Linked DNA regions of Yarrowia lipolytica. The protein of the gene in region 1 interacts with the protein of each later gene in a pairwise test. Links are inferred from orthologs where the notes say so. Each region holds a gene or a part of one and is shown in the gene's direction. Other genes may lie near its edges.

What was found. The genes of interacting proteins can lie anywhere in the genome.
Region 2: the proteins of YALI1_F00229g (region 1) and YALI1_E35181g interact in binary tests that used the Saccharomyces cerevisiae proteins (3 or more experiments, as listed by UniProt). The link is inferred for Yarrowia lipolytica from reciprocal best matches to the Saccharomyces cerevisiae genes APL5 and APS3.

The regions. Positions count from the first base shown.
Region 1 is NC_090775.1:20,920-26,927, forward strand, and holds YALI1_F00229g (uncharacterized protein), read left to right. Parts: upstream 1-1,989; coding exon 1,990-2,045; intron 2,046-2,158; coding exon 2,159-4,592; downstream 4,593-6,008. Other genes in the region: YALI1_F00261g (uncharacterized protein), read left to right, coding at 5,233-6,008. UniProt on the Saccharomyces cerevisiae protein: Part of the AP-3 complex, an adaptor-related complex which is not clathrin-associated. The complex is associated with the Golgi region as well as more peripheral structures.
Region 2 is NC_090774.1:3,515,605-3,519,618, forward strand, and holds YALI1_E35181g (uncharacterized protein), read left to right. Parts: upstream 1-2,475; coding exon 2,476-3,045; downstream 3,046-4,014. Other genes in the region: YALI1_E35168g (uncharacterized protein), read right to left, coding at 1-1,262. UniProt on the Saccharomyces cerevisiae protein: Part of the AP-3 complex, an adaptor-related complex which is not clathrin-associated. The complex is associated with the Golgi region as well as more peripheral structures.

The DNA.
Region 1 (6,008 bases):
GTGATATGAGAACGGACTGGTCGGGGAGAAAATTCAGTTGGTCGAGGCCTTCTTATTATGAGTGTTTCTCTCTTTCTCTTTTTTTAATTTTTTTTTAGGTGTGTGCGTGTGTCCGTGTCCTGGGTGTTGACTGTATCAAAATAGCCAAAAGCATATAGCCGTACAATTAGCTCGGGGTCTTTGTATCAAGGTCGTGTCTGAAGCGCAAATTTATGCACATAAAAGTCTATGGAACTTGAGCGTTGGAGAATATTGACAGATGAAGGGAACCATCTCTGGGAGACCTCACGCACGTGTATACACATCACACAATAACTACAGACTGGCCCGGTAGCTCCAACTACATTCCGTGGACTACCCCGCTGACTTGGCAAGCCCACCTACACACAGAGTTCTGTGCTAGATCCCCGGAGGTGCGTCAGCATGAAAAGGCGGATAAGGGGAACCATGTTCGTTATTAAGGGGCGGCTCTTGTTAGGCTTGTTTCTGGACATGCGTGCGTTCATCGCAATGGTGTCGCAAGGGTGTCCAAAGGGTGTCGTAAGGGAGTCTCAGGTCTGGTGTTGAACCACGGAGTAAGGTGGTGTTGATGCTGAGTCATTTGACACCACACAACTATTTCACAATCGTCACAAGTCGCGGTGTCTGGGGTCAAGCTTTGGGCTCTTGCAAGGTCTGTCCTTTCTTTCTCGTACTGCGATCCACGCTGCAAGGTCGCATGGACATTTAGGTTGACAATGGGAGCTGGGGCTGCCAAAACCACGCTAAACGATCGGTTCTGGTAAACATGCTCTTTCGGGCTCGATAGCAGCGCTCTTCTGGGGTGCTATTGATACAGGTCACCGGTCCTGGCAGTCGCATATGGCCGCCCAATCAACACGGCGCTCACAAAAGTTTCGACTCTATTTCCTATGTGCGTCTCGGGAAAGCATAAAGGCAAGGCAAGAAATGTGTGTCACGTTTAGCTGGAGAACGGCGGCAGTGACGACAAGACACATCATTGGAGAGCAGTAGCTCCAGAGTGCATTGCGGCGAAGAAAGGAAGTAGAGAAATAAACTACAAACCAAAAGATAATCGCATCTGATAACTCCAATCTGGTGTGACGTGATGAGTTCTTTCTTGGCTTTGGAGCAACAAGTGGACATGGTCTTGTTGTCAAGTAGGGAACACATGCCGATAACTCTTGTTCAACAGACATTCTACTATAGACACAAGCTCGGGAAAAAGTCGGAACAAAGTCGGGACAAGCTCGAGTCAAATTTTAGCATCTGATAAATTAAACCGTGGACGATAATCAGTGAAAATCTTGCACTTGTGTGATCACACGAGCAGAACGACGAAGAAGCCAAGGTTAAACTGCTCCTAGCTGCACCTCTAGTCCTAATCAATTCGCTGGTCTTCGGAAGCCGTTGCTGGTCCATCCGCACGGCCTACTGTTGCTCCAAGCTTGTTGCTTTATCCGAATGGGGTGCCTTGTTCCTTTCAGTCATGCATCATCTGCTCCAGGAGATGGATGAAACTGTAATAAAGACGTCAACGGGAACCGTTTTGGATGATGGGGCCCATCAACGACAGCTACAGAGGACTTGTAGCAACTCCAACAGCCCTCAGTCATGTCCCGGTCACTCGAGAAAAAGAAAAGCCTCCTGAATGCCATAAGCTTAGCCTCGGACTAAAAAAACTAACCCGGAGTTAGTTTTAACATGTTTCTACAGCTCTTGGCGAGGCTCTAGAGAGGCAATTGTGGCCCTGACATGCCTCTGGCAAATTTCGGAGTCTGTCGGAGTCCGAATCCCGCATATCTCGCTCGGACGAATTAAATTTCTCGATAACACGCTAAGCGTCTGCATGTGGTTGAGCACCACAACCCGAACTCTAAATGCCCACCATCCATCCATCATTCATCACAGACACCGACGATCACGTGACACCCGGGGGATGACAAGTAAGCTTCGACAGTAGACGCACACCACACAAACGAAACAACCATGTCGTTGACGACCAGAGATGATGTACGAAATCGGCTGCGGCCTTTTGGAGTCATGTGAGTATGCAGAATGCAGCAGTCGTGTGATTGAAGAGGTCATGGGGTTCCCTCTTCACCATAACACCAGTGAGCCATTAACCAACCACAACACCACAGCCACACTAACACAGATTCGAATCAACATTAACTGATCTCATTAAGGGTATTCGAGCCGCCAAAGATCTGCCCGCCAAAGAGCGGTTCCTCAAACAGGCAGTGTCCGACTGCCACCAGGAGGCCCGAAACCAGGATCTGACCGTCAAGACACTCGCCATCCTCAAACTGGCATATCTGGAGATGCTGGGTTACGACATGTCGTGGGCCTCCTTCCACGTCCTGGAGGTCATGAGCTCGCCAAAGTTCCAACAAAAACGAGTGGGCTACCTCGCTGCCATCCAGTCCTACCGTGACGACGACGATGTGTTGATGCTTGCGACCAACCTCCTTAAACGTGATCTGACGTCAAGCTCGCCGGTCGAGGTGTCCGTGTCTCTATCCGCAATCGCCACCATTGTCACCCCTTCACTCGCTCAGGACGTGCACCCCGAAATTGTCAAAATGCTGTCCCATTCGAAACCCTACATCCGAAAGAAGGCAGTGCTGGCAATGTATAAGATCTTCCTCCAGTACCCAGAGGCACTGCGGACGTCGTTCTCTCGTCTCAGAGATCGACTCGATGATTCAGACCCCTCAGTTGTTTCTGCCACAGTCAACGTGATCTGTGAGCTCGCCAAGAAGCACTCAAAGAACTACGTGCCCCTGGCCCCACAACTCTACCAGCTGCTGACCACGTCCTCCAATAACTGGATGATGATTAAGATCCTCAAGCTGTTCTCGTCGTTGGCACCCATTGAGCCTCGGCTTAAACCTAAGCTGTTGCCTCAGATCATGACCCTGATCCAGTCCACCTCGGCACTCTCCCTCCAGTACGAGTGCATCAACTGCATTGTGAGCGGAGGCATGCTAGGAGAAGACGACCACGATGTGGCTGGTGTCTGTGTCGAGAAGCTGTCGTCTTTTGTGAACCAAGGCGACCAGAATCTCAAGTACGTGGGTCTTTTAGCGCTTGGGAAGATCGTCAAGGTCCATCCCATTCTTGTTGGAAAGCTGCAGGGTGTCATTCTGGAATGCCTCAAGGAAAACGCCGATTCCACGATCCGAGAACGAGCACTGGAGCTTGCCAACGATCTTGCATCGGAACACAATGTTGAAACCATTGTGAACCTGCTGCTTTCCCAGCAACTTACCCACGCGTCCATTTCATACATTCTGGACATGTGCTGCAGAGACACATACTCACTCATTTCCGACTTTGAGTGGTTCTTGAATGTGCTCAAGAAGCTCGCACTGGTCGATTTCCCTCTCGAAGACCCTGCTCGGATCGGAGAAACGCTCCGAGATCTGTGCATGCGAGTCCCCGATATGCGAGAGGAGATTACCGGAGTTTGCTACGAAATATTCACAGACGGAGGTGTGTATCTCCGGAACCCCGGCGTCCTGCCTCCCGTTCTCTTCTGTCTCAGCGAGTACCCCATGCATCGACAAAAGGACATTTTGGACTTTTGCCTCAACTCATACTCGCACGTCAGAGAGAACAGTGGCAGCAGCAACAATGCTGTCGATCTGGCCGTTTGTGTATGCATCGTGAAGGTGTTTGGCAAGTTCTGCGAGGGCATCATCTGGTCATCTCCCAACGAGCTTTATGTTAAAAAGACTGTGACCAATGTGATCAAGTTTTTGTCGTCATATCTTGCGTCGCCGGACTACGAGCTGCAGGACTTTGCCACCCAGTTTTCCGAGCTCTTCAAGGTCATTTCCGAGTCTCTGGAGGAGGAGGGTGTGCCTGTGCTTCTTACCGAGGTGCTGCCGTCTTTCTTTGCATATGAACTGAATCCTGTGGCACCAGACACTCAGAAGAGAATTCCATTCTTAGATCTGGAGCTCCCTCCCGAGCTTGAGCAGACCCTGGAAGTGGAATTCTCTGACATTGAGGACGAGGAGGTTTATGTTGAGGAGGAGTTTACCCCCCAATTTGCTTCTACGGTCAGTGGAGTGCAGAAGGAGAGTCTACTGGATGCTCGTAAGGAGCGACTAGAGAAGCAGAAGGATGATCCGTTCTACATTTCTCGAGACACTACGCCCAATCCTCTCAAGGACGAGCAGGTGGACGTCGATTCCATCCCCGTGGTGGACCTGCAGATCAACGAGACATCGATAAAGACTCCGCCCATTCAGACCAAGCCGAAGCGCAAGATTAAGATCATCAAGGACGAGCAGATTGATGGCGAGATTGTGCCCAAGTTGGAGGTGACCAAGAACGTCAAGAAGAACGTTTTGATTCGGCCCAACCAGCTCGACCAGTTTGAGCTGGAGGACGACAAGGACTCGCCCGAGGTTGCGCAGATGAAGCAGGAGCTCAAGGACAAGAAAGATAAGAAGGACAAGAAGGACAAGAGGGACAAAAAGGACAAGGAAAAGAAGCCCAAGAGCAAGGCCAAGAAGGAGGGGGCTGATGGCGAGGTCAAGGAGAAGAAGCGCAAGAAGCGGGTTGCCGTCATCGAGTAGATCATAGATGTATTGTAATTAACCATACACTTGTACTGTAGCTCAAGCATGGCGGTACAGTCTCGTATCGTATCGTAGCAAGCTGGTTGTGCTCGTTCTAAAACTCTAATGCATGTATCACGTGTACTAATTTAGATAGGGTTCCTATCAAGTTTTCTGTGGCGTTGAACAAGCATGCTGTCAGTAAGATTAGGACAATCAGTAAAGGGAAGGTGCAAGTGCGAGAACCTTGGGAGGAAGGAGAAGAGCACCGGCCCAAAATAATTGGGACGTAACGTAAACCAGCGGGGAAAAAAAAGAGAGACCCTGGTGTTTGGAGTGCGTGTTTGTGTCACTTGAGACGCTCGCGTGTAGCATTTTGCCGCGGCAGACCCGCGCATCTGACTGGTCATTTCCACTCAACAATGGGCAGCCCCACACATACGTTGCAGGTGATACTATAGCCTGTACTGTATCATCTGTCCCGTAACCACAGCAGCAGCGCTCAATACTCCGCACTCTATACATTTAAGCTTCTGGGGTTCCTGATAAAGCCTTCGCCACCTAGACTTCAGTGTGTCTTCTCTCTCACCTCTCAGACAACAACAAACACACACCACACCGACACCGACACGCTCTACATATTTTAAGTCTCCTTACAATGTCTCCCACCACGGGCGAAGCTGACAAGACCACACCTTCTACCGTTCCCGCCAGCTCTGCGATTTCGCAGACCAAGGGACGATGTTCCTTCACGCTCTTTTCCAGACGAAACGACTGGACTCGCAGCGGCGAAGTGGACTGTGTCTCTTTCGAGCCTGATTCTATGAAACCATTCGACGTGGAGCTCACCGACGCGCAGAAGCAGACCCTGGGGTCACCCAGAGGCCACAAAAAAAACATCCATGTCCCCAAGGCCTTCAACCTCGTGTCTCGCAACCACGCCAGCTTTGTAGCCACGGATAAACAGCTGTTTCTGTTTGAGAGCAAGGCAAAGTACGGCACCAAGCTGGACGGCCAGAAGTTGCAGCTCAACACCTTTTATCCCCTGAAGGAAGGCTCGCAAGTGACCCTGTCCCCTGACTGCAGGGCACACGGCACCGCCTTTGATTTTGAGGTTGAGAGCATCTCCTTTGGAAAAGCTCCTGCCACTCCTTCTGTGACCTTTTCTTCCTCGAGCATTGTTTACAAATACGACAGCGAGGTTTCCCAGGGCACCAGCATGGACTCTTCCCCCAACGATGCCATCGTTATTGACATTGATTCCGACGATGAAGATACTGGCGAACAATCCGACATTGAAGTCGTTGGTTGTGCCGTTTCGTCGGGTGACAACGGGGAAGGGCAAGTTGGAGATGCTCAGCGATGCCACTGGTCCGAAGAAGACGAAGAGGATCGCAACGAGGACGATGACGAAGAAGACGAAGAAGATGATGA
Region 2 (4,014 bases), on another chromosome or scaffold:
AAGTAGACGGGGTAGAAGAGAAAGAACATAGTGGCTTTAAGAGTGGACCAGACATCGTGCACAAACTTGGGAGGATAGGTGGACTTCTTGCGGAAAATGTACTGGTAAATGACACCACAGAAGCCAGCAATGATGGAGTTTTTAGAGGACGGGACCTTGTACACCATGTTTCGGATGATGTAGAGAAGAGCAGGTAGGAAGAAGTAGAGGATAGTAGGTACGAGAAAGGCGAGCCAGTAACCAATTCGTTTCTCAGCATAAGCAGTGCCCAGACCGAGGAAACCACCGACATTGACAGCCCAGTAGTAAACCAGGGTCATTCTCTGCAGAGTGGTCTCCTTGTTTATCACCACTTGTTCCCCAGATGGAAGTGTCTTGACCCAATCATCGTCTTCTCGATACTGTTCCATCACTAACGGAAGCAAGTTGGGCTTGAACAGACCGGTTCCAAACGCGAAGATAATCAGACCCGCAATGAATAGACCCAGAGAAGCCTTTTGGGCTTCAATCACTCCAGGAACACCAGCAATAACGATAATAACGTGTCCAATTCCACAAACAATAGTTCCTGCCCAAATAGTGGGGTATCGTCCGTATCTGGCATCCGCAAGATAAGCACCAAGAAGAGGTGTCAGGTAGGAAAGGAAATTGAGAACAAGAGTAATAGCCGTGGCTACTTGAAGACCCTGGTTGAGAGCTCCAGCTGTAAGCTGAGAGTCCTTCGGGGTAGCTCCCCAGCCATTGCCCCCCTTTGGAAGAGGAAACTGAACAAAGTTGGAGATGACGTTTGTAAGACCGTAGTAAGAGCCTCGTTCGGCAAACTCCACAAGTGCCAAAACGTAGGTAATCTTTGGAACTGGTCCAGAGACTCTTCGGAGTGCGATATCTCCATCCTCAACCTTTCTCAACCCATTAGGATTCCACTCGTCGGTGTAGTTGGCCCAAGTGTGAGAGTAATGCTCGTGCTCCATATAGATCTCCTCATACTCGTAGTCGATTCCATCCTTCTCATTATTGGGGTCAACGCTTCCCTCTCGGACTGACTCGTCATTGACAGAGGTGGTCGTAGCTAGTGTGTCCTTGAGAGCGTCCTTGAGAGTCCCATTTTCGGGAAACTCCGGAGTGGGGTCCAGACTGTAGTCAATATGGGAGTCGTACTCAACCTGAGGATTGTACTCAACTTGCTCAACCTCAGAAAGGTACTCCCCCTGTGAAGGGTACATGGTAGCTTTGAAGTTGTCGTCCTTGTCGTCGTAGGTCATTGCGAGATGATGGCCCCGGGATTTTCTCTGGCAATTTCTTATATATATACTGTAGATACATTGGATGACACTACTTGTATTTCAGAGCCGTGGAGTGGGGATCTCATAATTGTACTAGACACTGGGGTAAACACACTAGTCTATCGTTTCGGGTCCCCAGATAAGTGGGGAACATTCCATCGATAGCCTGAGAGGTTTGAGTGTATGCATGCCGTTTCGAGCCGAGATATGCCAAAGATCAGCTTCTCTTAATGGCTTTCCACCGTTTCTTGGTACACTGCACAAAATACCGTTAATTAGACCGTTGGCATGGCAGGAGCGACCAAGTACATGCCTGCGCACGTTAGTGAGTGTACTGTAAGTACAGTAGCTACAAGACTCTAACTTGGAAGGCCCGTAGCTGAAAATTTGAGTGGTTAGTATGTTAATTATCCGAGGCGTATCCGAGGCTCTTCTCATCGAGCATTTCCACTACTTGTAGACCCTGTGTAAGGTGCATTTATGAACGGCTCACACCCCACAACTAGCAGGGAAAAACTTCTGGAGTTGGACCTATTGGGGTAGTCAATAACCGGGCTCCCGCTTAAAAAGGATTGTGGGGTACAAGTATCCAATAAGTGCTTGCCGTGTACTTGTAGATTGAAGGAGGAGAGTCGAGTTGGATAGGAAAGGGTCAGCTCGAATATCTTCACCAGATTTACCACGTACAACTTGTACTTGTACTTGTACGAGTAGTGACGCTTGCGAGAGGGAAAACGATCGAAACTCGAGGATGGACCAAATGGCCATGGAAGAATATGTGTGGATGCAAAATTTTCCTGCTAAGATATCCATAGACTCACTTCGAACAACCCCGCTCTATACCAGTCCGAACTTTCGCTATATGAGTTTACTGACCATCAGCATGCATACAGGGCGCGCTCAGCCGAAACCACGCAGTATAGCTAGCTACGAGTACAAATACAGTAAGCACCTTCTATGGGACTTGAATAATAAAAACACTAAGTAGGGACAAGGGTCAAAATGCATTGAAAATTTTCAGCAATGAATGTTACTTCCTCTCAGAAGTTCCTACAAGTACTACAAATACAACATCTCCAAGAGCAGTTCTCTCTGTTTCTGGGTCATGTTGAACTCTAATAACCAACCACCTAAATGCTGCAGAGTTCCATCATCGCCCACCATCGTCAACCACACACACTAATTACAGGTAATGATCCACTCGGTACTGATCTTCAACAATTCGGGCTTGCCACGATTGACTAAATTCTACGCTCCCGTGGACCTGGCAACACAACAAACGCTTCTCAAGCAGGTGCATTCTCTGCTGGTGGCAAGAAAACCAGACGCATGTCTGTTCCTCACCCCTCCTCCTCTTCTCCAGGGCCAGGAGGATGTTGACACCATCCGTGTCATATACAAGCACTACGCCACGTTATACTTTGTGTTTGTAGTCGACGAGCAGGAATCCGAACTCGGCATCTTGGATCTGATCCAGGTCATGGTGGAGTGCCTGGACCGGTGCTTCGAGAACGTCTGTGAGCTGGATCTGGTATTCGGGTGGCAAACACTTGAAACCGTGCTGGGAGAAATCATTCAGGGAGGCATGGTCGTGGAGACTTCAGTGACCAAGATCGTCGCTGCTGTCGACGAGGCTAACAGAGGTAACGGTAGTGCGGAAATGAAGGAGGGAGGTGCGAGCGGAGGATTCGCCAACGCTCTCAGTGGAGCCACAAACGCCATCAGTCAAATGGCCAAGGAGGGACGATGGTCCTACCGATAATTGTATATGGCTGTGACTATGAAAAAAATGTTGGATGCCTGAGGACTACAAGTAGTGGATGTCTGATGTGAGGAAGCATAGAGAACGGTGTCACGTACATGAAGTACTGCACACATGTAAAATGAATGAATGTATTATTGACAGTTGGAATGTGACGGTTCGTATCAAGCCACTTGTCCACTGGCTATTAGTGTCACAAGGGCGTACAGACCTGCTCACCGTCATATCCCAAAACCACCATAATACTCGAACTGTTACAAGCCCCACAAGTGATGCAGAATCATGTTCCTCTTTTACCAGTATATATTCCTCTTTATCTTCAGCACCACGCACCATGTTTGTGTTATATGAGATATACTGTGGCTAGACACTCACCAAGATCGGGTAATTACACCAGAAGTAGGAGCTACTACTTGTAGTACATGTAGCGATAGTACAAGTACAACAGATATTACCAATGCGTCATACCCAGGGTCCAGACACGACCGAAGAGCCTGTAAGTTCACAGTGCCAGTAGCGCCAACCTTCAGCCCTCATTATTACGGTAATGAGTTCGAAGAGCAATAAGAGCGACCATGAGCCAGAACCTTTGAGCCAGCCCGCCAGTATGTACTCGACATATATATTCATGAGCAAAGAGTCCTTTTTCAGTGCCAAATCGAGCCCAACAACATCTACTGTAGATTCAAAAGAGCATACAAGCACTTTTACGAGACCGATCTCCAAATTATGGTGAAACAATGAGGTCTAAAGCTTTCAATGGACCAGTTTCAAAGAGTAAACCAGTCTACAAGTACCTACAAGCATAAGTTTTTTAGATCAAAACATTACATCTGGTAGTGTGGCGACACGTAGATGTGCTCAATCCCTTCGAAAGCTGAACATTGGTTGACATAGCGAGCTCGTAAACATAATTAAGCAAAGGGTTGTCCGTTTTCTACAAGCTATCTACAAGAACAAGTGGCTGGT